Danio rerio: one gene and its partner. The protein of the gene in region 2 binds, or shares a complex with, the protein of the main gene of each other region. Links are inferred from orthologs where the notes say so. Each region holds a gene or a part of one and is shown on either strand. Other genes may lie near its edges. The genes, in order: mmaa and mmut.

What was found.
Region 1: the proteins of mmut (region 2) and mmaa are in contact, whole or in part, in a crystal structure (PDB 8GJU), measured with the Homo sapiens proteins. The link is inferred for Danio rerio from reciprocal best matches to the Homo sapiens genes MMUT and MMAA. Residues at the interface, in NP_000246.2 of Homo sapiens: Lys496, Glu609, Arg610, Glu611, Gly612, Arg613, Arg614, Arg616, Ala635, Thr636, Ala639, Asp640, Gly642, Phe643, Asp644, Val645, Asp646, Ile647, Gly648, Pro649, Leu650, Phe651, Gln652, Glu656, Gln659, Gln660, Val662, Asp663, Ala664, Asp665; in NP_001362573.1 of Homo sapiens: Arg98, Ala99, Ala102, Glu103, Thr106, Glu109, Ser110, Thr111, His112, Ser182, Ser186, Gly187, Gly188, Ser189, Leu190, Leu191, Lys194, Thr195, Met197, Thr198, Ser201, Arg202, Met204, Tyr207, Ile208, Arg209, Pro210, Ser211, Pro212, Arg214.

What each region holds. Positions count from the first base shown.
Region 1 is NC_133176.1:39,116,995-39,126,868, reverse strand, and holds the end of mmaa (methylmalonic aciduria type A protein, mitochondrial), read right to left. Parts: intron 5,018-9,874; coding exon 4,730-5,017; 3' UTR 4,468-4,729; downstream 1-4,467. UniProt on the Homo sapiens protein: GTPase, binds and hydrolyzes GTP. Involved in intracellular vitamin B12 metabolism, mediates the transport of cobalamin (Cbl) into mitochondria for the final steps of adenosylcobalamin (AdoCbl) synthesis.
Region 2 is NC_133195.1:47,754,753-47,765,945, forward strand, and holds part of mmut (methylmalonyl-CoA mutase, mitochondrial), read right to left. Parts: intron 8,403-11,193; coding exon 8,245-8,402; intron 7,843-8,244; coding exon 7,671-7,842; intron 4,969-7,670; coding exon 4,720-4,968; intron 1-4,719. UniProt on the Homo sapiens protein: Catalyzes the reversible isomerization of methylmalonyl-CoA (MMCoA) (generated from branched-chain amino acid metabolism and degradation of dietary odd chain fatty acids and cholesterol) to succinyl-CoA (3-carboxypropionyl-CoA), a key intermediate of the tricarboxylic acid cycle.

The DNA of each region.
Region 1 (9,874 bases), on a different chromosome or scaffold from region 2:
GCAAATGTGTTTCTTTGTCTTAAGGTAAATTCTGTGTCATAAAAAGGTACTGCCCCAATGACTTTTGACAGTTTTTTCTGAAAGTGAAAGTGTTTATAACCGCCTCCGAGGATAGTGGGGGTCGCGAGTCACTGGAATTGTTATTGTGGGGGTAGCGAGTTGAAAAGTTTAAGAACCCTTGATTTAGATTACTCAAATGCTCATCTTTAATTCTGAGATTAAAGTTTGTTTTAGTAATTATGCTGTTATTTGACATTTTCTGTTGTTATTTTGCTGTATTTTATAGTATTTAATAAAATAGTTTTTAGATTGTAGGATTTATATTAGTTTTAATTCTTTTAAGTATAATTTAGAGTAAAAAAAATGACATCTGAGATATGACTATACAAAAAATTTATTTACTTTAAGAATATTTTTTAATAATATTCCTTTTTTCATTTTCTTTTCGGCTTAGTCCCTTTATTAATCTAAAGTCGCCACAGCAGAATGAGCCCCTAACTTATGCCCTTCCAGCTGCATCCCATCACTGGGAAGCATTCACACACACTCATTCACACACATACACTAAGGACAATTTAGCCTACCCAATTCACCTGTACCGCATGTCTGTGGACTGTGGGGAAAACCAGAGCACCTGGAGGAAATCCACGCGAATGCGGGGAGAACATGCAAACTCAACACAGAAACGAAAACTGATCCAGCCGAGGCTCAAACCAGCGACCCTCCTGCTGTGAGCGAATGTGCTACCCACTGCACCATGATAATAATAATTCATTCATTCATTTTCTTGTCGGCTTAGTCTCTTTATTAATCCGGGGTTGCCACAGCGGAATGAACCTCCAACTTATCCAACATGTTTTTACATAGCAGATGCCCTTTCAGCCACAACCCATCTCTGGGAAAATAATAATAATAATAATAATAATAATAATAATAATAATAATAATAATATATAAAATATTTTTAATAATATATGAGACATGCACTTTAGAAAAGATTTATCAATAAATCAAAAGTAATAAAAAATGTATTTACTTTAGGTTAAATTCATAAAATAATTCCTTAAAAAACAGTGAACACTGTTTTAAATAAAACAAAAAAAAAAGGAAAACAAATTCTGCCAGAACACTCACTAGTCATTTTTACAGACATTTCCATTAACTTAAACATAAGATACATAATTCATATTGAGAATTCCTTTTATTAATAGTACTTAACACTAATTAACAATTTTCCCAGTACTGGGTTGTGGCTGGATAGGCATCCACTACATAAAGCATATGCTGGAATAGTTGGCAGTTCATTCTGCTGTGGCGACCTCTGAAATAGAGACTAAGCTGAAGGAAAATGAATGATATATTAACAATTTATTATTTTAATAAAGGCTGCTTAAAAAGCAGCATTACCACCCCAGAAATCAATTACGCTTTAAAAACATTCAAATATGAAACATTAAATATGTGTTATTTTAAATAACATTTCATACACACAATTGCTGTACTTCTGATTCATTAAACGAAGCATCCATGAACAAAATATTTCAAAAAAACAAAAACAAGAATCTCTTTGACTGGTATTGCTATTTATATTTCTAAAATAATGAAAAGGCATGGTCACGATATTAAACTTGATTACATTCTATGCCTCTAGGTTCTTGCATGCAGTACATGAAACCAATTTTCTTAATGTTAACCGTGTACATAAACACAGTTCGCTCTGCAACATGATCTCTCAGACAGCAGGTTTCCTCGCTCCTGGACTCACATGTAACGTATCTCCGCTTCCACTGGAAGGCCAAGAGCTTTTATTGGTGATTGATGGAGAGGGCGGCCCTCAGGTCTTCAGAGTTCATCAGTATTCACAAAGCATTCCAGTCTGAGTCATAAGACAGAAGAGCAAGGCATAATGACTAGAAAGCATGTGCGCAGGAAAACAGCAGAACATCCCGTCTTGACGCAAACACGGCACAGCTTGCCGGACAAAAGCCACCAGATGAGGTCACGCGAACTTGGGGTTCACAGAAATGACACAATGGTGACAACAAACAGGGTGCTGTTCGACATGGCGTATTCTCCTGGAGTTTGTGATTCTGAGTAGTGCTACAGGAATCAACAGGAGAGGGCTGGTAGTCAGCATATTCGGAGTCTGTTAAGGACGACACAGTGCTGTAGGCTGAGACAAACAGCAGTGGCATGCAGAAGAGCTGATTTACATAATGGACACAGATCTGGCCAGGTCTACAGGTCCATCTAGTGTCAGGCTGAGAGAAGATCACTTTTTACTGTATGAGCTCATTGAAATTCGTGGAGTGGATTTCTTATGTAAGATTAGCAGAATTACTTGTGGTCGTAGACGTGTAGAGAACGCAACAGTAAAAATAGCAAAATGTTAGATGTTTGCATATTTAACAAGTCCATACTGCATGAAGAGAAAGGTCATATATAGGGGCCTTAAGCAATTCCAGCCATGGGGCCCAAGTCCTGAAAGGGACCCTTTCTACTTTTATTAATTTTTATTTATATTGCTGTTTTTTATTTTACCCAATCTTATTTTTAATTAATGCAATCTCTACATTTTAAATGATTATTTTCCTTAAAATAAAATTACAACTAAAAATAATATAATTTTTATAAATTTGACTGCTGGACTGTTCCATGATGGATATTTTATTTTGTATTATTTAATTATTACATAACATTACATTATTATAATATTCTATTTGATTGTATACTAAACACAAATTGTTTATGTTAAAATTGTACCTGTTTAACTCTCACCATACAAAATATGATAGAAAACAATGTTATATATAGTTTATAGGGTATAATTTATACTTCTTGGGGGCCTCCATGTTTCTTAAGTGGCCACTTACCTTGCTTATTGGTTAAATCAGCCCCTGGTCATTTGTTGAATTGTATATAAACACATGTATATAAGTACATGTCAGGCCTGTAGGCAGCCTGGTGAAAGTGGTGGTTCTTTTTTTTTCTCAAAAAGTGGATCTTTTTGCAGTTATCATTTTCTTTTTAATTATGAGATTCAAATACTGCATTTTAGTGATAATTTAAACACAGTTTTTAGCTGAATTAGCTGGTTGTGTGTTCACTTTTTGAAGTAGCAAAAATATTTCTTAAAGATTTAAAATAAAAAAAATATAAATACTTATTTTTAAAATATAAATGTAACTCATCATATATCATTAGAAAAAAATAGGAATCTGTTAAAACTTTTAAATTAAAAACTGGAGCTTATTGTCATTCATTTGGCAAATAACAAACTGGCCAGAACATTAAACTTTCCTCAGTCAGAAATTGGCCATTTGAATAATAAACTATTAAAACAAAATAGTAATAATAATAATAATAATAATAATAATAATGCAGAGCTTCACGATTTTACATTTGAAAATTCATGGATAATAGCCAAGTTTTCAAATAAATTTTAATATGGGCTGCTTTTGGTGCTTCACACCATTTTATTGGTAATTTTTTTTTGTTTGTTTGTTTCAAAAAGTAATTGTAAAAATGTTTTCTCTATTTAACAACGATACAGTAGGTAAGTAGTGAAAGATGACATCACTCACGTCAGATGTGTTTTTCTTTACAGCTGGATGTTGAACTAAAAAACAATTGTTTGCATTGGATATAACTTGTTAGCTAAAGTCTTGCAGAAGGGACAGTCAACAGAGTATTCTCCTGGTCTTAAAGCCTTTTTCTATGGGTTAATTTCCCAACTATGGTGGCATAGCAGATAAAGTAAGACAAATGAGTTCATATGGGACAAATTCTGGACCTTTGTCAGTGAGGGGCGGGTCTTTCGAACCACCCGAACTCTACTGGTTACAGGCCTGCATGTTGATGTATAGTCACTTGTTTTCAATGTAATACATTTATGCTCAATTATCACATTAACATCTATTTTAGCCACACACTGTAGCATATGTTTATCTTTATGGTTTCATAGTAAAATTGGCAGCAGTCAAAAAGAAAAAAAGTCATTATAGTTAGTTCTGTGAAGATAATGTTTAATAAATAATATAACATAAACATAATATAATATAAACATATATAAAACAAGTATATAATTTTTAAAGTATAAAAATATTATTTAGCTTTTTATATTCTAGCATTACTGTTACTGTAATATATTTATGTAATTGTAATTTATGTAGTGGCAATTATTATGTTTTATGTAATTCTCAGCATTACAAAATGTATTTTTCACAAAATGGCCTTTTCTTTTAGCTTCTATTATTAATTTATTACCATATATTAGGAAAACGTTTTTAATAGAAAATATTTAATAATTTTAAAATATTGATATTTCTAAAACAATCAATAAAAAAACTAAAAATATATAATTATGCTAATTGTCATGCTATAAGATATTCTTTCAAGCTTTTTTTTACTTAATCTTATCACTGTTGATGATGGTAGGCAACAAAATATCAAGAAATGAAAAAAATAATCAGAAGAAAATTACATTTTATTGTCAAGTCCCAAAATGTACATATTCCTCAAAAAATCCAACACATATTAGTCATTTAATCTCATCTACAGGACAAGATAACACTAAGACAATATTAGAACATAATCATCAAAAGTCACCAGTAATTAAAATCCTTTAAAATCAAGTGAAGCAACATTTGTAAGATTCAATCTTGCAATGATTTTTCCATTCAAGTAATCCCTAAAACAACCAGTTTTTCCCCCATAAAGCAGCCCCTCCATCACTGTGTGTCTGTGAAAACTTTGAGCAGCAGGTCAGCAGCGAGTCCAGGTGAGATTTCTCCACACGTGACTCTGCTCTCCAGCTCTGGGAGCTCTGCACGCACCGCTGGATGCTGTTGGAAGTGGCGGAGAGCATTCTCCTGGATCAGACTCCACATCCACACCTTCTGCTGAGTCTGCCGTCGGACTTGGAGCTCCCCGCTGCTCAGCATCTCCTCCCGGAAGTGCAGCATGGTTTCCCAAAGCTCCGGCACACCCTGCCCCGTCTGAGAGGATATGCGCACCACCTGACCACATGTGAAGAGAGCCAGAAAAAGGACGAATATAAATGTGTTGACAAGAGATCACCATCTGAAGCAGTGTTGATTGATTATCACTGACATACTGATGTTTATTAATAGATTAAATAGTTGTTTTAAATGTTTTAGTGATTTAGTTATTAAAATTCCACTATATTGCATTATTTTATTACATTTTATTCCCCAGTTAATGTTAAGGCACAATAAAAACCAGTTGTTTTTTGTTTACATTCTTATATGGCCCTCTCATAAAAAAATATTTCAAGGGCCATTTTTTTTTAAACCCTTTAAGGGACATTTTGTACATGCTTGCATGTTTTATTACTTTTCAGTTTTCCCAGCTAACATTAGATTAGAAGTTTACATTTGAGTGCTAGTAAACTATAATAAAAAGCTAAGGAGATATTTATAATTTTTTTATATGACTATATTTCATTATTATAGCCGTTTTTTTCAGTTAATCAAAAACAGCAACTATTATTTAGTTTAAAGCATTTATGATAAAACTTTAAAGGATTTCTTATTTATTAATTTTGCATGCCTACATATTTTAATATTTTTATTTCAGTTTTCAACAGTTCATGTTAAGCATAGCAAAAAAAGAAGTTGCTAGTCAACGATGATTAAATGGAATTTATTACATTTGTATTTGACTATAAACATTTTAGTATTATTTCAATTTTATTTTCAGTTAAATGTGAAAAAGAAAATGAATGATTTAAATTTTAACATTTTAGTGTCAATTTACTACATTATTCCTGCTCTAAAACAAATCAATCATTATCAATGTGTAATATAATATAAGAGCGATATCACTCGTGGCAGTGTGATTTGGTTGTATATCGGCACTGATGGGAGACGTGTGTTGCCTTAGTGTCACACAAGTGACAATATACAGCCCTATCGCACTGCTACGAGTGTGATATTGCATTTATACAACAGTTCCACGGCATAGTCGTGTATAAAAAAAGAAGATCAAACACAGAGAATCTAAAAACCCTTTTGTATGAGGAACTACTTTCTTTCTTGTGCAGTTGACGTCAGAACAGCAGAAACCATTGCTACATCACCAACATCACTGTAGAGCTAGTGCTTGAATGATTCTCTAGCGTAATGTCTAAAGTGAAGACAAAACAGCTGATTTTGCTCACAGTTTAAGATTATAGGGCTGAACGGCATGAAATGCCATCAGTCTACAGACATTTCTCAGTATTTCTCTGTTGCATTAGAAATTTCGCAATAATCATCCCCAAAAAAGTTAAAGCCACGCAAACACTTCCAGATTACTGTTGTGTTTGCGATAAGTAAAAATGCTAAACGCATGCGGGCATTTCTTCTTTCTTTTTTTTACTTAACTAGTCTGCAGTAACGAAAACAGGGGACGCATTAGAAACAAACAGATGGCTAACCAAAAAGTGATTCAAGGTTATGCAAAGAGTGGCCAACACAAAGTACATACATTACTGATATGTCAGTCCCATCTCACACTCAATACACCACAATTACTATGGTATAAATACAGCACTTTAACATTCAAAAAAGAGAGACAGAGTTTTATGATGTTTCGATCAGCTGTAGTTAGACATTGCGCTGAGTTTTTCTCTTCTAAGGGCTAACCATGTGTTCTCTGTTGCCATCTTGTGGATAGACAATGTCAACCGTCTTTGCTCAGTACGACTAATGGTTGCTTGCTCGCAGTATCTCTTAAATTATAAATATTTAAAATAGGCACTGTCTTTATAAATTAACTGCATAGTTGCTATTTAAACAACTACATTCTAACCTAAAAAGCCTCAAAAGTACATTATGTTGTCCAACAGCAGCAATATCTGTCAAACTGTAGTGAGTTTAATGATCTGCTGTCACTCTATGTGGGCGGAGTAATACACAAGAGTGAAAAGACTGTACGAGTTCTGATATTGCAGAATATTGCGTGGCTATCAGCCCATCAGATTCGAGAATCAGACAGAACTGTTGTATATAATATAATATTAAATATTTTGTTAAAATAGTTTTTTGTTGTGCTTTTGTGTATATACACATTACAATGCAGTGCAAACCCAATATAAAAATGCTGGGTTCTACACAATTCCACCATGTTGTAACAACACATCTTAAGTGGATTAAACAAAACAATTAAGTTGTCCCTCTAAAAAACCTAACAAATTGTGGTGTTTCAAATAATTTTAAATGAATAGTTTGAACAAGCAGCAAAGGTAATTTTTGAGCGCATTTTAAGATCTTATATTCATCTTGTTTTGAGGGAAAAAAAGAATGGAAGCAGGCAGTAGCTTTACATCCGAACAGCAAGAATGCAGAAATGTAAAGAGTGTTCGCCCACACATGTCACTCCATCCTTGGTTTTAGTAGACCTTTATACTGGAAAGTCTTTAGGGAGGGCAAAAAAAAAAAAAAAAATCAATATGACCGTCGCATCCTCCAGTACAGGAATGAAGCTCAGAAATCATGCTGCTAAGAGGAGACAAAGACTTTAGCGCTTCTCATCCATGTGGGTGGCCTCTAATCAGTGAAATGCATGAGGCAGCATTTGGCCATTCAAAGGGCTGCCTATGTTGGCTCTGTGCCCTGCGGGTAGAAGTAATACTGGGACTGAGGAGACAAAGAGGAAGAACTTGACAACGTAGAGCAGAGCATGATGGGAAATGACAGTAAAGACGACTTCACTGGACAGGATGGCTCTTCTAAACAAATAATAAAGGTATAGAATTAAAACGCTTTTAAAATAAGCCCCTATTATGCATTAAAAAGGGTTTTATTTAGGTTTTGGGGGTCTCCAACAACAGGCTGATATGCATGCAAGGTCAAAAAACATTTTCATTGTCTTATAATATGTATTTATTTTTACCTAATTATACCAGCGACTCCTATATGATTCGTTCAGCGATTTATTTGTTCCCAAACTTCTCCTCAGCACAACTGGTTTGATGACTCAGTCTGTTGTGATTTGTCTACTACGTTTAGCGCGAGACAGAGATAAATGCCAACCACGGCTCATCAACAATTTTGTTGTAGTCAGTGTGCAGAGTGTATGTGTGAGCATACCTGCCAACACTCCCGTATTTCAGACCCATCTCCCGCCACCCTCCCATTTTGTTGTTTCTCCTGGAAAACTCAAGTAAATTCTTCCCCCTCAAGCTCTGCAAAGTCCCATATAGTCTTTTCTGATCCTTTCTTTAACAAATGGCTGACAAATCACCTGTTGTAAGCATGTAGATTCTTGAAGCACTCGTCAAAAAAATGACGAGAACACAGCACAATGCTGGGGCTACAATGCAGAGGTATTTTTGCATAAATAAACTTCAACCACTGACTCTTTACAGCCTCATCTTTGGGTAGGAAAAATAACACAAATTTTCGCTCACACTTCAGAGCACAGCGTCTTTGCGACATGATTCAACCAGGGTCTGCAACAGTGCTTGTCTTCTTATTTTTAAAACTTTTTCAATCCTTTTAAACATGGTGCACTTTCATATTTAAGCCTTAGCTGGATATTTTACTTTTCACTTAAAGCTCTGTTACTGCATGAAAGGTCATTTTCAAAAACCCATAATAGAGGCTGTTTATTACTTATATGAAAGGGTGGCAAAGAAGAAAAAAGTTAAAATGAGGACAAAGATATATAAACACTGTTGATTTTTGAATGATAACAATTTAATGTTAATAAAATAATGAAAAAATATACATTAAATTATTATCAAATTAAATAGAGTCCCTCCAGACCGGTGGAAGTCATCTTACATTTTATACAGTTTATGGGTGATGAACATGATGCAAGTGAGTAACTGACTGCATGATGGAGCCTATAGAATGCTGTCGTATGAGCCTAAATTCAAGATACTGAAGTCAAAACGGCCTTAATCTTGCCAACAAAAATATTAAGTCAGAGCAGAAGTGCATCTCTAATACACTCTAAACCAGGCATGTCCAAACGAGGTCCTGGAGGGCCGGTGTCCTGCAAAGTTTAGTTCCAACCTCAATCAGACACACCTGGGCTAGCTAATCAAGCTCTTACAAGGCTATCTAAAAACATCTGTGCAGGTGTGTTGAGGCAAGTTGGAGCAAAAACCTGCAGGACACCAGCCCTCCAGGACCGAGTTTGGACATCCCTGCTCTAAACACTTAAATAAATGAAAGAAAATACAAGTATATAAATTAAACCAACAGATTTGTTCATTTGCAGATTAATCCCTTTTGAATCATTTAATTTCTATTCATACTCATTTTCTTAATTCCTGAATGAATCAGCATTTTGAATGAATCAAATGAATAAATGAAAAAAAAAAATCTTGACATTCTAATATAAAATACAAATCTTTTGTAACTATTCAAAATCACTAACTTTTCACTTTTTCACTTATATATACGGTGGTCCCTTGTTAATTGCGGAAATTGCATTCTAAAAATAGCCCACAATAGGTGAAATCCCTGAAGTAGTCCACTATTTTTTACTATTATAGGTGTTTTAAGGTTGTAAAACCCATCACTACACTATTGTCTCAGATAGGCATTAACATTTTCACACTATTCTCTACTTTTAACTTCTACCTTCCTTTAGCATGTTCAGAAGTCCAACTTTTTGTGTTATGGTTAGCATCTTCCTCTGCCTTTTGGGTGCTACTGTAGGTGCCTTTGACAGTGAAATGTTTTGTTGTTTTGTTGACATGGGGTTTGTTGGGAAGAAAACTTGCAAACATACAGTACAGAACTTCAGAGTTACACTACTAGCGAGCAAAGATTTATGCATTTGTTTAAATGCATTCTGTATTGTACAGGATACACGGCATGGAGATTGATTAACAATGGTCTACAGCCAATCAGGATGCA
Region 2 (11,193 bases):
GCTTGTAATTTGGCATTACTTTATTTTTCTGCTTTTTAATGGAAATTTCATGTATTTTTAGAGAGTAACACATAATTTCACATTAATATTTACAGGTTATTCCTGTAAAAATAGGGAAACAAAAATTCTGTCAAATTGTTTTTATTGAAGATTATACCATGAGGTTAAAAAAATAAAAAACAATAGCTTAATGTTTGTAGAATGCATATAATGCATGTACTGTAAACTATGAAATGTTTGTTTTACTACTCTAACAATGGTGCTATGCGAATTGTGACGATCACCTGTGATCTTGTGGCAGAGGATCGCTGGAAAACTACAAACGTTACTTTAACGAACTACAACTCCCAGCATGCACCTTACACACCTGGGTTCCTAATTGTAACTGATTACACACACAGCCAGAAGATCATTGTGGACTGATTTTTTACTTTGTAATTTTGTTTGCCGCCTTTAGGATTATCTGTATGCATCAGTTTGTTCCTGTTTCAACCTTTAATTACAAGATGATTGTGTTATTAAACTGCTATTTGATCCTCAGCTTTGTTGTGCAGGCGTCCTCACGACACTAACCTTGTTTTTTGTTGTTAAATAATGACCAAATGCGTTACTTGTAAAAAAAGAAATAAAAAAAATTGATAACAGTTTTGTATTTTCTCAAGAAAATTGATTTAATTTAAAAATTTTTAACCTACATATCCTTAAAATATTTGTGAAAACTATTTTATAGTTTATAGTTATATTTACAGTGTTTTATGACAACAGCAATTATTTGTACCTAACCTTTTTTTTAATCGTTCTTTAAACTTTTTTTTTTCTAGTTTTAAAGGTATGTTAAAAGTAGAAAAATTAATGGAATATTTAGAGATTTCATGTATAATTTAATAAATGAATCTGTATAATTACATTAATAACCTGCATATTTACAGTAATTATCCTTATAATCAAATTAATTATCTGTATAATTACATTAAGAAATTTTATATTTACAGTAATAATTTGTAAAATGACAATAATATTCTGTGTAATTGCAATATCCATTTACTCGCACGCGCCTGTCAGAATCGGCAGTCAGGCGCAGAAGCTCTATTGAATATACTGGGGTAAAATAAATGCTCATATTATAAAGACATGGCGGGGGAAAATGTAATTTAATGCAGTGCTTCTTGTACAATCTGAGACCCACTTTATATCGGATATTACTCAGCCATTGGAGATCACTGATTTGTAAAGAAAACGGACCTTAAACGGATCGAATTTGCATTGGCATTCAAATCACAGGAAACGATTAACCCAGGTTACTGGCAAATTAAAAGTCCTATTAGTATGCTTCAGCATATTCCCGTAATTGTAATTACAGTTAAAATCTGTAAAATGACAGTAATAACTTTTAATTAGGGAACAAGAAATTACTGTTTTTTTACAGATTATCTACATTTTTTTATTCTGACAGTCTTTTTTCCTTTTGTTACGGTAATTTTCTGGAGCCCCAGCTGCCAGAAAATTACATTTTTTACGTTTTTTTTTTATTTTATTATTTTTGTACTTATTTCTAAATCCAAGAATTATTTTGTTTTATGAGATGTAAATGAAAATGCTGTTGTCATTATTACTATTATTATTATTAATTAATTAAATATAATGGATAAAACATATCTAGGTTAAATAATTTATTCATGCAGCCAGCTTTAATACTACAGAATAATACAGATTACAGTAAATATACAGAATACGGATTATTTTTAAATTAATTTTTAAGATTTAACTATTCATTAATTCATTCATTCATTAAAGAAATGATTAATATGTATTTGTATAAGTCTTAATAAATTGTATTAGTTTTATTTAAAATAATATTAAAAAATAAAATAAATAAAAAAATCACAAAATAATAATTCTGTAATTATATAATTCACATTCAAATAATGAGTCCAGAATCAAATAAACAATCATTACATCACGTGCTTTAAATCAACTTTTTGAACCGCAAATTCAGATTTATTACATTAAGTCAAGTGCGTTTTTCATTATGCGGACATATGACGGGAAAAACAAAAATTGTTGACAAATACTGTAACTAAATACATTTTTCGCCACTAGCTAGGTAGAAATGCTAAATATCTCATAAAAATCTCTTAATTTGTGAAAAGTTTAACACAAACATAAGGTGTTACTGGAATTGTGAAAAAAGGGTTAATGTGCATAAATGAAAGATGGAAACACATTTGCCAATAAACTCTGACGTCGCGAACATTACACCAATGTGACCAATCAGCTGTCTCCATTATGCTTGTGTAACCCCGCCAGTCGCACGCCACCCAACCTGTTCCGAGCTGGTATCAAGTCGGCGACGTTCCACCTGGGAGTCGGTTGCTCTACCAAGGAGGCTAAAGAGCATAGCCTCTAGCGTCTGTCGATAGAGCACCTTTAGAGGTCAGAGGAATGAGGTTTACCTGCACAGCACCTACTGGCTGGCCTCTGATACACTTGCCTTGTTTACTGTTGGTTATTAGGTTACCAATACAATAGCTTGACAGAACTTGACAGAAATGCACCTTATTGCATTTAGGATTTTATATATATATATATATATATATATATATATATATATATATATATATATATATATATTTATATATATATTAAGGGTGGAGCCGAACCTGAATACGGTATTCGGAAAGGCACGAATAGCGTGTTTTTACGAATACTTGATTCGAACAAATACTTGAAAAATTATTTGTATTCGGGAGCAAGAAAAACACTATATCAAAAAGCAGCGTTTCCTCATGAGACCACAGTGCATGCCCGCGTAAGTGAGTGAGTGAGTGGGAGAGAGAGAGAGAGAGAGAGAGAGAGAGAGAGAGAGAGAGACGCTCAGTCGGCATGTCGGAGGGCGGGGCGGAGATAACAGGGTGTCTGGCACAAGCTTCTCCACAGCAACAGACAGAAGGCTCAGCTGAGCGAAAAAAATACTTCACTGCATTACTATTTTTGTTAAATAGATTTTTGTACCTTAATTGGGTTCCAGATGCAGTTTATAAACTTGTAGCGAATTTTAATCGGGATTTTCTATTACGCTGCATTTTTTACGTCTGCAACCGGGTGCTCTGTTTACGCAACGTTAGCTCTGTTAGCGCGGTAATTTAGAAATAGACTGTTGCCAGAGTAACGTTAACGTTCGTTTATAAAGGTTAAAACGATGCTTTTGCAGTTGTGTCGAATAGTATGCACTTATGGGAGTTATATGGTACGTCTACATTACTGTCTTTTGCAGACAGCAAGATATATGCTATAGGCTAGTTAACCTTAGCATAGCTTCCCGTCACTTTTTATTAACTTGAAACTCCTCAAATACATTTGGGCACCCAGAAAAAGAGTGAAAAAGACTGCTGCTAAGCCATTTCTTAGTCCTCCACCAGTCAAAAGAAAAAAAAACCTTCAGGTTCTGTGTGGAAGCATTTTACAGTCAGTGCTGCTGCAGATAAAACAAAGTGATACGGTATAATGTTTACAAAAGTGAAATCAGCAGAGGCAGAGATATTAAACATCTGTCAACATCTTCTATCCATAATCATTCATTCATTTCTTTTCGGCTAAATCCCTTTATCAATCTGGGGTTGCCACAGTGGAATGAACCACCAATTTATCCAGCATATGTTTTATGCAGTGGCCGCCCTTCCAGCTGCTACCCAGCACTGGGAAACATCCATACACTCTCTTTCACACACATACAATAGGGACAATTTAGCTTACCCAATTCCCCTGTATTGCAAGTGTTTGGACTGTGGGGGAAACAGGAGCACCCGGAGGAAACCCACGCCAACATGGGGAGAACCCAGTCGGGGCTCGAACCAGCAACCTTCTTGCTGTAAGGCGACAGTGCTACTCACTGTGCGACCGCGCAACCTTCTATGTAATGTATTATCACATGCACTAAAAGCATCCTCTCCTGATACTGTCTGTGAACCCCCCACAAGCATCAATCCCCTCAATCAGCACAGCTATGTTCTGCTAAATCCTCCACAAGCACCAAACCATCAACACAGCCACATTCTGCCCCAGCAAGTCAGTTTCAAACATAAAAAAAACAAACAAACAAACTTTGTGTCTGTTTTGTGGCAGGCAGATGACAATAGCAGGGCTGTATCTTTTAGTATTATATAGAATACTTTTGTTCTGCCAGATCTCCCAGGCAGGGTTTTATTTAGATTTATTTTGTTAATTTTAGTTTTTGGAATTCTGTGCATTGGAAAGAAGTTCTTTCAGAAAAAGAACAGTTTTTTGAAGTATTATTTGTTTTTATTCCGTCTATTCAGTGTCAAGAACGGTGGTGGTGGGGTTCATAATATTCACAATGGTATTTTATTAGTTGTTGGTTTAACCATGGATGAGATAATGGCTTCTATGTTATTTTCTTTTCAATGACATTTCTTGTCACATGTTCAAAAACAACAGCCAATATGGCATATCTATAATTTATATAATGGGTATAATTAAACAATACTTTCACTATAACGTAAATTAGAAGTGTAATAGAAAAAATATATATTTTTGCGCCATTTTGAATTTTACTCGAATACAAATACAAATACAAATACTTTTCCCCCCTCAACAAATACAAATACAAATACCGGCTGCTCCGCACATCCCTAATATATATATATATATATATATATATATATATATATAATTTCATTATTATTTTTTTTTCCTACGAACCTTGAGGGCCGAGTTGTAGACGTCATTGGTGAGAGCCTCCATCATGTAGGATCCACCCCAGGGATCAGCCACCTTTGGGATGCCTGACTCCTCCTGGATGATGATCTGGGTATTGCGGGCGATGCGGGCGCTCTTGACCGTGGGCAAACCCAGAGCTTCGTCAAAAGAATTGGTGTGCAAAGACTGAGTGCCTCCAAACACAGCAGCCATGGCCTCGATTACGGTACGGATCACGTTGTTGTAAGGGTCCTGAAGAGCAAATTCAATCAGAATTTAATTTATGTTTAAAGTTATTCTTGAAGTCTGTGTGAAATCAAATTTTACAGTGGTTGTTTTATTAAAGCATAATTTCTTTTAAGTATTTGGTTCCTAAAAGTTGTTTAAGTAATCTTCAATCAAATTTTGACTATTTTGCTTTCATGTTTGGAGTGGCTGTTCTTCTCTGTTGATGTCAGTTTGATGCTCCAGCCATAATATTCTCAACCACGCCCCTCTTAGTTAGCTACATGGCAATGATGTGCAAAAAGAAAGCCCCGCCCCCAACACAATATTTTGTTTCATTGCAAGTAAATCAACATACTGAAATAAAAGTCTCAGCAACTTCTGGTTCACGTGGACTTTAAGTGCCTTGAAACGTGCAGCTTTGGTTAATCTGTGATTTAATTTCAACTGAAACATGCAGACAGGGCGTCTGTCGGTAAACATGTCAATCCAACCCTAAAAGATTACAGATTTTAACATAGGATTTCAGGTCTTCTTTTAGAATTTCCCAATTTTGTTTTAGACGACCAATTCATGGCTAAAATCACACAGTTTAAGCAGAGCTTAACATATTTGAGTTCAGGGAAATTTTACAATACAGCCTGTTTTGAACCGATAGCATTTCACATGGGTGTGGCTACCAAGAGAGAGATTTGAATTTATTATATCAAATTTAATACATTTTAGAAATATCACTTTTCTATAATAATACAATTATAAAAATGAAAAAGACATTCAGCAGTAATAATCAATACATAAAACTTTTGATACATTTTTTTTTACCATTTTTGAAGTATTCAAATTTAAAAATATCTCTCCAGATAAAAATCATTGTCAGATAAGATTAAAACAAGGCATTCCAAAGGTATACATTTAAAACACTTTGATTATTTGTTGCAATATTGACACTTTGGCGGCACTTTTCTTTTGAGTAGATGTCCAAGAGTGAGTCTTGAGTGTCCGATATGGCAGTGCTCCTCAACCACCATCTTTCATCAATCTTGGATCAATCTTTTATTTTGAAAAATCTTTTATTTTGAAAAATTACCCCATTCTCTAGCTTACATCTTGGACATTTGAGAGCCCAAATTTAACTCACAAGCAGCAAAAGGAGTAAGAAACAGATGTTTTTGGAAAGTTTCTTTGCTAAAGGGAAAAAGGCCCAGCAAAGGACCCATGTAGCGCCGAGGTACAGATCTGCAAACCATTTGTCAACAAATAGGGTGAATCCAGCATGTCTGTGCATGAAGATCAACTGCTGGAGATCGCAAATGACGGTGGCCTTTTAGGGGCTGTTCGAATAGTGCGTCTTTTAGAGTTTGTTATTTCCCAGTTGAATGAATGCTTCAAGAGCATTGCAAGTCATGTGACAAGAACGGACAGATCAGCTTTATAATTTGTATGGAATATACACAATTTTCTCCATAAATAAAACTTGTATTAGAGTGAACCCCCCTTGAGTTGGGTCTAGGATGAACAGATTATTTTACAAAACATATATTTTTTTGTATTTTATCTAACTGTCATAATTAATAATCATGCAAAATATAATAAAAGTGATCTTAGCATATTACTCTAGTTTTGTCTTTACATTGTTTTCCAGTTACCATTAGGATTGTTTTCTATTTTTTATTTAGATTAATAATTGTATGAAATAATATTAATAATAATTTTATTTATAATAAATATCAATATTTTTAATAATCCCAATACTCGTTTTGTCCATATTCGGGGTGTATGTGGGGTGTTTCAACCAGGGCTCCATTTAAACTAGAACCGCTATTGCCTAAAGGTACTAATGTCCACCTGTAATACAAAAGTGTACCCTTTTGAAAAGGTACCACCCCAGTAACAGCTGCTGTACCTTTATTTAAATGCCACAGCCATATCACCCTGCAGCCCAAGACCGGTTACTCACTGAAGCTAAGCAGGGCTGAGCCTGGTTAGTACCTGGATGGGAGACTACTAGGGAACACTAGGTTGCTGTTGGAAGTGGTGTTAGTGAGGCCAGCAGGGGGCGTGGTCTGTGTGAGTCCTAATGCCCCAGTAAAAGTGACTCTCTGCGGTCATTAAAAATCCCATGGCACTTCTCGTGAAAGAGCCTTTACGATCATGGCCTCCCAATCATCCCCTTCCACCGAATTGGCTCGATCACTGTCTCTCCACTCCACCTATAGCTGGTGTGTGGTGAGCGCACTGGCGCCGTTGTCCTGTGGCTGCCGTCGCATCATCCAAGTGGATGCTGCACACTGGTGGTAGTGTGGAGAGACCCCCCTCATGATTGTGAAGCGCTTTGGGTGTATGGCCATACACAATAAATGCGCTATATAAATACACATTACATTACATATTTCTGAAAGTGCACAGATCCTATTCTGCTTGTCATTTTTTTTAAATATAGCATTTTATTAATAGTTTTAAATCTGAAGGTGGGATTTTGCACTCTTATTTTCTCTGTTAGGGCTGTTTTGGCAGGTTTGTCTGCTTGTTCATTTCCGAATAGGCCAACATGCCCTGGGATCCATTTTAAAAATTGCTTAGCTACTAAGTATACCATTATTGAAATGAAAGACAAGCAACTGACAAAATAATTAACACATATATCATATATAAGACATGTTTTTTTTTTCTGTTCACAGTTTGTTTAATGAGCCGTTCACCAGCTGGCTGTGGATTTGCGTTCAGGGTACCTGCTCAGTAAGGGACCATCCAGATGTCTGACAGTGAGTTCTCAGCAGGAGGGATTTGGAGTTCTTCGGCTGAAACTTCTCTTTGATGAGTGTCGCCCACAGACGTCGTGCTGCTCTCAGCTTCGCTATTTCCATATAAAAGTTCATCCCGATGCCCCAGAAGAAAGACAATCTAAACAGAGATGACACAAAACAGCCCGTTTCACATACTGTATATGATGAAACCTTTAGGAAACATTTTAGCTGTGCGACTCTGCGTTATTACTGGAAATGTGAGCATCTGTCTGAAGACAATTTTCTAACCCTTTTGGGGATAAGGCAAGTTTTTTTAATTGAATTGAATTGAAAATAATTCGATTTGTATATTTATTTTAAGAAGAATTAAATACTTTTAATTAATTATTTGAAAAATGATCAATGAAAGTATTAACAAATATTAACGAATGAATAATATAGCTATAACAGTGCATTACTTTAAATATAACAATTATTTTATATTCATGGTGTAATAAATTGTTTAAAATAGAATGTACTATTATTTTTATGCAGAAATGTACTGAATTTCTAAGCTAACCTGGGTGCAAATTCATCAATAGTGAGTCCAGCCTTTAGTCCAGTCCTGCAGTACTCCAGTCCATTGGCAATCGTGTAAGCCAACTCCAGGATGGCATCAGCACCAGCTTCCTGTATGTGGTATCCACTGATGGAAATAGAATTAAACTTGGGCATATTCTGAAAAAAGAAAATTCATTGTGTTGAGTAAATTTATCTAATTTTGTCAAAAGTAAAGATGTACCTTTTTATACAAAGTTCAGAATAGAACTCAATGCTTGTTTAAAATCTGTTTCAAGAGTTCACACTTAGCTGATGATTAATTATAAGCTACTTTGGCATGCTGTCCCGGGAGACCGCCCTGAGCTCATAAGATCCTCGAGCCCGGAGCTCCCTCCCGTTGCAAGGCGAGAGGGGAGTTTGAGCTCAGGTAGATCTCGAGAACTCCCCTGCTGTAGTAACTAATGAACAGATAGTGATTGCTCTTAAGAGATAAGTACTTACTAGGAGCATGTCTATAGTGCCGATTTGGATTAGTCAATTAACCGGTCACACTGTACAATAAGGTTCATTAGTTAATGTTAATTAATGCATTTACTAACATGAACAAACAATGAACAATACATCTACTGTATTTGTTCATGTTAGTTAACGTTAGTTAATGAAAATACAGTAGTTCATTGTTAGTTCATGTTAAGTCATGGTGCATTAACTAATGTTAACAAGCATGGACTTGGATGTTAATAATGCATTAGTAACTGTTCAATTATGATTAATAAATGCTGTACATGTGTTGTTCATGATTAGTTCATGTTAGTAAATGCATTAACTAATGAACCTTATTGTAAAGTGTTACCAATTAACCTAAGTTGCATGTTTTTGGACGGTGGGAGGAAACCGGGAAACCCGGGCGAAACCCAACTTGAGCACAGGGAGAAAGTGCAAACTCCGCACAGAAACGTCTACTGGTTTGGTAAAGCCTGGAACCAGAGACATTCTTGTTGTAAGGCAACAGTGCTAAGCACTGGGCCACCATGTCACCCATTTAGGAAGAGGGAGGAGTAGGGGTGGATAGGGGGACTCTCTAAAACGAAGATAGCAGTGGTACGTAACCCAAGGTATTTGTAGTAGCTTAGGAGTCATCTGATTAGTGCATTGAGAATTGGATTATACAGATCCAGCCGCTAGCAATCATAAGCTTGTGATCTTCTCGAAATTAAATTTCTTTCTTTTGTTAAAACACAAAGACAACATTTTCATTTTTACAAGAAAATGCCATGATGTTGTTATCAAGACTTTGCTTTCTGCTTTCAGAAAAAGAGGGGAAAATAGTGTGAGACTGATAACGGCAGCCAGAGGAGAGAACAACATCAAATTTACTTTCAGCCCCATAGACTCTGCATTACAAATGCCTCACATAGGCGGTGAATCGTTTTTTGTAATTTAACGCAACAATGATATAACATACATAAATGCATATAAATGTTCATACTTTTTTAAAAAAATAAAAATAAAAAAAACGCATCATAACAATCTTGTGAAAAGGGTCCATATAATCAACTACCTCCGAAATAATGCAGTGTTTCTGTCAGTTTAATCGCTTGTTCTGTACTGAAATAGGTCCGTGTATATTTTGGTCATTGGATGTTCATTAAGGAAACAGATATTGAAAAAAAAGTTGTTTTTTGATTATCTTTTTTTTTTTAATCAAAAACGTAAATTGAAATATGAGGTGTTTTCTTTTTTATGGTAAAAAAAGGATAATCAAAATTTTAAAAACTATTTGAACTTCATTTTTTTTTAAATTTCGAATAACAAAAAAAATCGCCAGAAAACAAAAACAAAAAGGGCTCATTTTATGTATTCCGAGACCAGTTAGGCCCAATCATTCAAGATGACGCAATGCTGCCACACACAGGCTACTATGCTACTACATTATTAGGCTATTATTTTTTCCACTCAATTATGTTTTAAAAATGTATTTTATTGTGATAATGGGATTTTGTGAAGACACATTAAGATAAACATTTATATACAGTTGAAGTCAGAATTATTAGCCCCCCTGGATTATTACTTATTTATTAATTATTAATAATTATTAATTATTAAAATAATTTTAGAACAATTTCTGTTTAAATGAAAGATTTTTTTCAACATTTCTAATCATAATAGTTTTAATAACTCATTTCTAATGACGGATTTATTTTATCTTTGCCATGATGACAGTAAATAATATTTGACTAGATATTTTTCAAGACACTTCTATACAGTTTAAAGAGACATTTAAAGGCTTAACTAGGTTACTTAAGTTAACTAGGCAGGTTAGGGTAATTAGGCAAGTTATTGTATAACGATGATTTTTTCTGTAGACTATCAAAAAAATATAGCTTAAAGGGACCAATAATGTTGACCTTAAAATGTTTTTCGAAAAATTAAAAACTGCTTTTATTCTAGCCGGAATAAAACAAATAAGCCTTTCTCCAGAACAAACATTATTATAGGAAACACTGTAAAAATTTCCTTGCTCTGTTAAACATAATTTGGGAAATATTTAAAAAAAAAAAAAAAAAAAAAAAAATCAAAGGAGGGCTAATAATTCTGACTTCAACTGTACATAAATGCACATACAGAGTGTGTATTTAGGAAAGTTTTTATAGCTGCAAAAAAAAAAAAAAAAAAAAAAAAAAACAATGTTTATTTGTTTGGTTAATTAAATAAAAATAATAATTAAATAAAAACTGTAAAAAGTTAAATAAGACAATTTTGGTTATTTAAAAAAATAAATATATAGCCTATAAAAAATGCTATTATATATTTTTGATTAAGCAAATGTACGTATTTTTTATTTAAAAAAAACTATGCATTTTCTATTTGGCCTACTTAAATTTTATATTTGGGCTACCAATAAAAAGAGTGCCTGCCCAGAGGGCTATCAGGAATTCAAATAAAACCAAATCTTTTGAGTTTAAAA